Linked DNA regions of Oryctolagus cuniculus. The protein of the gene in region 1 purifies or fractionates together with the protein of each later gene. This does not show direct contact. Links are inferred from orthologs where the notes say so. Each region holds a gene or a part of one and is shown in the gene's direction. Other genes may lie near its edges.

Region 1 (3,743 bases):
TCATCTAGGGCGGCCTCCTCCAGCTTTGGGTGTCCACTTGGCAGCTTTTCCTAAGGTTGGACGGGGCTCCCTGTTCCAGGAGCTTTCGGTGCCCCATCTGGTTAAGTGGTTCAGCCCCGAGGCCGGCCCGCTGAGGCGTTTATAAGCTGGAGAATGCCGTCTACAGTGTGTGGGTACAACACTGGGTACCCTTCCTTATTGTTGAGAATTCTCAGACCCTACTTGCACACCCCAACCTAAAAACGTAGGTTCCATATGCCAAAGGTGGCCACAGATTAGCTTTGCCAGGCCGTTTGCTCCTCCTTGGCCAACTTAAATGGCCTGTTGACATCCGTTGCTTCTCTCAATATTCTAAAGGCATTTCATTTACAAACCCTATGTTAATGTCAATGGTGAGCCTACTCATTCCTTCAGTCAGTGCATACAGTGAGGACCTAATATGTGCTGAGCACAAGAAGGCCATGGCGGGAAAGTCCCTGCCCTCTGGAAGCTTGCATTCTAGCGGGTGGGGCAGGCAGGCAGTTAACCAGGTAGTTACAGTCCAATGGGTGCTAACGGTTATTCTGCAGGAAGTAAGGAATGGGCCTGGGTAAACTCCCAGGCAGCTGGTTGCTAAAACATTGTATAAGGCAATGGCTCAACAGGAAGATGGGGCAGGGTTGTGTGGGGAGGAGGAGTTGACTTAGTGATTCTCTTTGTACGTAAAATGTTGAAGAGCGCCATTGATTTCATCACCAGCTAGAAAAAGATCATTCAAATGATAGATTGATCTTGGAATCAGGTGCAGTTCTCAGCTCAGAAACATGCTGCATGAGGCTGCAATCCATGCATAGTTTTTTCATGAGATGCCACTTCTGTGAAATTTTTGAAATACTCTTAGTGTCCTGAAGTTTAAGCTTGCTGCTTTAGCTTTAAATGCACTTTTCCAAGGGAGAAAAAAAATGTTCTTGCTAAATGACAAAAGAGTGCTTAATGCACAGAAAGTAAAATTGCGACCATGAAGCCTACTCTTTCTTGTTCTGTTCTAATCAAGAGTTAAAGAACACACTTCCTCCCTGAGCAGCTCCAGTTTCCCCCCTCCCTCTCTGCACCCTCTGTGTCCTGTGTCATCGTGAGCCCTGTCCCCCCACTTGGAATAAGTTTGTTTCCAATGGCATGTTCTGGACTCAGGACCTTCAAGTTTACCTCACCTGCTCCTGTTTATGGTTGACCTCACTGGTTAGCATTTGCTAATGAGTTCTAAGCCCACAGCTGTAATTGTTCAATAAACCTTAATGGACATATGGTCAGTATGTGGCATACAAAGACCAGGTTGTAGTGTGAGAATGAGTGACTCACTGTTTATCTTGTAGATGGGGCCTGGGAGGTGCCCGTAGCTGTGTGTTTGCCAGTGGAGGAGCCGTTCCAGTCCAAGCAGAAGAGAATCCCTGTCAGCTGCCACATGTTTGTCACCCAGCCCACTGGGCTGCATGGTCTCCATAGGGCCCCAAGCTGTCCTGGATGTGAGAGTGGAGTTCCTGAGACACCTCTCTGCCAAGTCTGTGGTTGGAGGTGTTTTGGGCTTTGGGGGGGCCTGCCTGTGGCGTAGGAGGACTAGGAGTTGCCATTACATGCTTGCGTCTCAGACGATTCTTGGGGATGAGGCGTGGCTTCCCACAACAGCAGGAAAAGCAAAAAGCCCTTTTCACTGACTTGGCTTCCATGGAAGGAGGTTGCTGTTTTCTTGCCATTGTTCTGGAAAAATGTGAACCAAGTGCACATCAGCACTGCCAGAGAGGGGGCCTCCCCTCTGCAGGGGTCATTGCTGCATCTGTGGTTTGGTGACGACTCAGCCCCGCTGAGCAGCACAAAGCTGTAGAGGCACGGAGATGGAAACCACACAGATGCTTTTATGTGATCCTCTTCTGGGACTCTTTTATATATATATATATATATATATTTAAGATTTATTTATTTATTTGAAAGTCAGAGTCAAGGACTCTGAGAGAAGGAGAGACAAAGGGATCTTCCATCCGCTGGTTCACTCCCCAGTCGGCTGCAATGACCAGAGCTGCGTTGATCAAAAGCCAGGAGCCAGGAGGTTCTTCCAGGTCTCCCAGCTGGGTGCAGGGACTCAAGGACCTGGGCCATCCTCTACTGCTTTTCCAGGCCATAGCAGAGAGCTGGATCCAAAGTGGAGCAGCTGGCACTTGAACCGGCGCCCGTATGGGATGCCAGCACTGCAAGTGGTGGCTTTACCCGCTATGCCCTGTCATTATATTTTAAATGCCTTTTAACTCCCCTTATGTCAGACACATCCAAGTTCAAACTAAAAGGACAAAACCACACGGCGAAGCCAACTGTGGAAGTCCTTAGGTTAACTGTTTCTTGAATGATTGATGCCATCATGTAGATGATCAAAAGTATCCTTGCTATCCAATTTCCATCGACCGAGAGACTTCCTTTCACACTCCTTGCCAACACAATTGGCAACTTTCATAGCGGTCTGTTTCCGGATATATAAAGAATAGAGGCAGATTTCTCTTTAGCATTGTAAGAAGAAAATGCCTTGATAATAGTGGCCAGTGGTTTTCAACTACATCAACAAAAAGTTAAAGAAAAAATATGTAAAAATGTTATAAATAAGCAATAAGATTGATAATTTGACAGCTACAGAAATTCTTACCTTCAAAATGGACTTGCCCTCTCCTAGGGTCAGAGCTGTTTGTGGTATTTAAATGTGAATAACTATCTAGGTTGTTACTGTTTCTTTTCTGATGGTGATTCAGAGTTGAAGCCATCCTCAGCACTGCTGCGAATGTGTGTGTGCCTGGCTGTCCGTGGAGGAAGGTGGGAATACAGTCCTTTGGTTTTCATTCTTGAAATGAAAATGGGCCTTTCTTTGTTCTAAGCCAGAGACCCCAGCTCTCTTACTTTCCTCAGATCATGAATCATATATTGCAGTATAATTTGCACAGAAAGTAAGACATCGAGTGATAGGGACATGTAACCTGTAAGAGGCCTTGGTTTCACCAGTGGAATTGTGATGCTGTGTCATGAATCTCGTCTAGTTTAGGAATGCATTATTTTCAGGAAAACTTTCCAAAAGCTTCAACCTTACTTTTCAGATCCTGGGACTATCAGTGTGCTGGTATTATCCATGCAGTATCTTTTTGCAGCATTTTAGAAAGTGGAGTGATTGGGCGGGTATTTTGCAGAGGAAGAAGCTGTAGTATTCAATAAGTGAAAAGATGTTTAACTTCAGGAGTCACCTGGGATGGGCATATTAAAATGACTAGAAAATACCATTTCACACTTAACGTGTTAGCAGTCTAATAGTACAGGTGGGATGAAAATGAAGAGAGGCTTCTGGTAAAATTACAACTTAGTGTTGGATACCTAGGTCATTCACCCTACCTGAACATGTGCTCATGGGGGCATTTATTGTAGCACTGTATATGATAACAAGAATTAGAAGCCACCTAAATGATTTTCACAAGGGAACTATGTAAAATGTGGTATAAATTTTGCAAATACAACAGCTAAAATGAATGAACTTGATTAATATACAGCTATATGGATGAAAATTTAAGCAGGGTGATATGTACAGTGTCATATGTCTGATTGAAATTTCAAAAGTGCCCAAAATAACACATTTGGTTTAAGAATAGATGTAAGCAACGCAGAAGTATAAGCACTTGCCGTGGAGGGGTCTACACCTGGCTCATGAACTTGGTTGCCCCTTTGGATGGGGTAGGCCTGAG
Region 2 (3,659 bases), on another chromosome or scaffold:
GGGGCCGGCCGAGCGCACCCGGGACCGCGTACCCGACAGGCACCTCCCGAGGCACCCGGGACCGCGTGCACAGGGGCCGTCGGGGTGACAGAATGAAGTGGCTCTAAAGGCAACAAGGATGCCCAGCGTCCACTTCCGAGGGGACGCGGATCTGGGCCCCGGCAGCGTTCAGCCACGCACTGCGTCTGCCTCTCCGCACCCGGCCACGGTCGCGGGGTGCAGATCTGCCCCCTCTTAGCCGACGGCTTTTCTACACATCTGTTACATGTTTAACGCACAGTGGCTTTTACGTGAAAAGCACCCGGTAGAGCGGCGGAAAACGAGCGGGCAGTAGCTGGCAGTTGGTTGTACCTCGCCCGGACCGCGCACTTTCTAACAAGTTCCTCCCCCAGTGTTCACAACCTCGGCGCCTGGCACCGCGGGAGCCAAGTGCAAGTGTGCATTAACTGTCCCCGTCCCGCTGGTGGTCGCCACGGCCGGCCCCCAGCGGGCCGTCCACCCGCAGCCTCGGCCCTGGACTGCCGGCCCTGCAGGGCACCCTCCGACCCCGCCCCCGAGCGCCGCCAAGCCCCGCCCCCCGAGGCAGCCCCGCCCCGCGCCGGTGCCGCGCCTGCGCGCCGGCCGCCCCCCCCCCCGCGGGCCTCCGCGCGCGCAGCCTCTGGCCCCGCCCCCCGGAGCCGGCGCAGGGCGCAGCTTCCCGCGGCCCGAGCCAGCCAGCCGGCCGGGTGCGTGCGTGCGTGCGTGCGTCGCGGCGTGCGTGCGTGCGTGCGTGCCGTGAGCTCGCCGGGCACCGCGGCCTCGCCCTCGCCCTCCGCCCCTGCGCCCGCAGCGCGTCGGCCGCCCCCGCCCCGCCCGCCGCCCCCCGCCGCGCCCGGCCCGCGCCCCCGCCGCGCCCCCGCCGCGCCCCGCTCTGTCGCTCTCCCGGGGGGCGCGGCCTTGGCGCTCGCGGCGCAGGTGACCTCTCGGGTCTGCTGGCCGGAGGTGCCCGCCGACGACCATGGCGAAGGTGGAGCAGGTCTTGAGCCTCGAGCCGCAGCACGAGCTCAAATTCCGAGGTAAGCCCGAGGCCGCCGCCGCCCCGCGCGCGCCTCCGCCCCGACGGCGCCGCTGCGGGGCCCGGCCGGCCGGCGGGGGCCTTCGAGGCCCTGGCCGAGGCCCGGGGCTGCGCCGGCCGGGAAGGGGCCGCGGTGCGCGGCGCCAGCCTGGCCCCTGCTGCCCGGCCCGCTGCGGACAGCCGCGGGGGCCAGGCCGAGAGGACCGGGCCTCGCCAGGCGCGGCCGACGTCCAGCACGTGCCCGACGGCGCGGTGCAGGCCCTCCTGTCCCCAGGACAGCCTGGCGCTGGGCACCAGGAAGCCGCGAGCCACACCTCCCCCGTGGGAGGCTCCCGCGCGGGCCGCTCCGCTGTCACGCGTTCGTGTCCGTGTCCCGGGACCTTGTCTGACTTGGCGTTCCCGCCCAGCGCACGTCCTGGGCGTGGGTGGACAAGACGGACGAGGCCTCCGCCCTCGGAGCGCTCCCCGGCCGCCGCAGGACACCGGATCCCGGGAGGAAGTGGCGCTGGCCGACTGGACAGGTCGGCGTGGCCCGGCCAGCAGCGGGGGCTCCGTCAGGCGTCTGCGCGGGGCTGGCCGCGGGCACCGGCTTCTGTGGCCTGCGGTGCCCAGTTGGCAGACGGGGCACGTGGACCCCCGCTTCGGAGCGCGCACTGCCCGTTGTGCTGCCCGACCCCTGGGCCTCGTCCGGAACTGTGGCTGCTGGAGTCCCGGTGGAGCGTGGAGTGACCCCGAGGTGGGAGCCCGCGGCGGCCTCGCGCCTTCGGTGGGAACCCAGCAGAGGCCACGGGGACCCTCGCCCCGCGGCCTGCGGCTGCGCCTGCGCATAGGGCAGACGTTTAGGGGAAGCCACGCTTTCCAGTTGCGATTTTTTTTTTCCTGGGAGTGAGTGAACTGCAGCTCCCAGTCAGCCAGCGCCGCTGCCGCGCGTGTTTCTGCACGCGTGGGGTGTGCGGGGTCCGGCTCCGTGTGCGTGCGCGCTGCCTTCGTTCGGTGCGTCTGGGCACGGGTGAGGCAGGCCAGGCAAAGCCGTGACTCGGGTGCGCCCGAGATAACGTTTAGACTCGACCTTGTCGTCACCCGACGTTGGGTCCCTCCGGGAGAGCGGCGTGTGGCTCGACCTGGTGAAGGGGCCTCGGGACGGGCGTCCAGGGAGCCGACGCGGACGCGACGAGCTGTCTGCAGTGCTCCGGATAGCTGGCCTGTGCGCCCCTGGGAGTTGGCGCCTCCGCGCCTGCGGTCCACGGACGTTTCCCGAGTGCCTGTCCCACGCCAGAGGAAGCAGGACGGCCCCACTCGCTGCCTCCAGCGCTTGAAGTCAGGAGGCGGTGGTGGTGCGGCCATGCGAGGTGGTGCCGGGTGCCCCGGGCGATGCGAGGTGGTGCCGGGTGCTCCGGGCCATGCGAGGTGGTGCCGGGTGCTCCGGGACCGGGCCGTCCGAGCTGCGCTGCGCGGGCGCAGTGGAGGCAGGCGGGACGTGGGGGCCCTCCCGCGGGGCAGGGGTGCCGAGTCAGCTGGTTTCCTGGGACACGGCGGCGTTCCCACGACGGCGGCAGAGGACACCTGTCAGGGTTGCAGGACGACGTGCACACAGGGTGGTAGTGGACAGGAGGTGCCGCTGCTGTCCAGGGGGAGGCGACTCCCCCCACCCCCGGCCCTGGTGCTGTGTCCTCCTGTGTGACGTCACGGAGAAGGGCCCTGGTGCAGAGAACTCCAGTTTCTGTCCCGGTTCCTCACGTGAAGATGCGTGAGCTCGGGCTGACCAGGTCACTTCCAGCGCCTGGTGCCACTGGTGACTTACGGGGTGACACTCGAGGCGGCCCTGTCTCCTGTGGAAGTTTGGAGGGAGTCGCGGTAGAGGTGTTACCCTGCTCGCAAAGTGCGTGGTTCTGTACGGTGGTCAGCGGTTGTATATTACAACCCTGGAGGTGGTGGGCGGTGGCTGAATAATACTCTATGGAGGTCAGAGGTCAGCGGCTGTATATTACCGTGTGGAGGTCAGTGGTCAGCGGTTGTATATTACCGTGTGGAGTTCAGAGGTCAGTGGCTGTATAGTATTCTATGGAGGGGGTGGTCAGTGGCTGTATGATACTGTGGAGGTCAGTGGTCAGCGATTGGATAATACTTTATGGAGGTCAGAGGTCAGCGGTTGTATATTACCGTGTGGAGGTCAGTGGTCAGTGATTGTATTATACTCTGTGGAGGTCAGAGGTCAGTGGCTGTATAGTACTCTATGGAGGTGGTGGTCAGAGGCTGTATAGTACTCTATGGAGGTTGATGGTCAGTTGTGTAATACTCTATGGAGGTCAGAGGTCAGTGGCTGTATAATATCTATGGAGGTCAGAGGTCAGTGGCTGTATAGTACTCTATGGAGGTGGTGGTCAGCAGCTGTATGATACTCGGGAGGTCAGAGGTCAGTGGCTACATGATACTGTGGAGGTCAGAGGTCAGCAGCTGTGGAATACCCTATGGAGGTGGTGGTCGTGTTGTACCGTATGGAGTACTGGAAGCACAGGGCTGTAGAGAGTGCCAAATGCCCAGTGCCCTGTGCAGGTTGGCAGGTGTGCGGTGCTGTACGGAGGACTGAGTGCAGGGCTGTACATTT

What was found. Proteins that work in one complex are often made in the same cells at the same time.
Region 2: the proteins of SLC22A15 (region 1) and VAPB purify together in Homo sapiens (co-immunoprecipitation; 3 studies listed by BioGRID and IntAct, with this or other methods). This does not show direct contact. The link is inferred for Oryctolagus cuniculus from reciprocal best matches to the Homo sapiens genes SLC22A15 and VAPB.

What each region holds. Positions count from the first base shown.
Region 1 is NC_091438.1:54,447,692-54,451,434, reverse strand, and holds the start of SLC22A15 (solute carrier family 22 member 15), read left to right. Parts: upstream 1-1,341; 5' UTR 1,342-1,441; coding exon 1,442-1,537; intron 1,538-3,743. UniProt on the Homo sapiens protein: Organic zwitterion/cation transporter with apparent specificity for amino acids and their derivatives. Has low affinity for its substrates and may regulate their flux across the plasma membrane at high substrate concentrations.
Region 2 is NC_091442.1:3,793,118-3,796,776, reverse strand, and holds the start of VAPB (vesicle-associated membrane protein-associated protein B/C), read left to right. Parts: upstream 1-772; 5' UTR 773-997; coding exon 998-1,055; intron 1,056-3,659. UniProt on the Homo sapiens protein: Endoplasmic reticulum (ER)-anchored protein that mediates the formation of contact sites between the ER and endosomes via interaction with FFAT motif-containing proteins such as STARD3 or WDR44.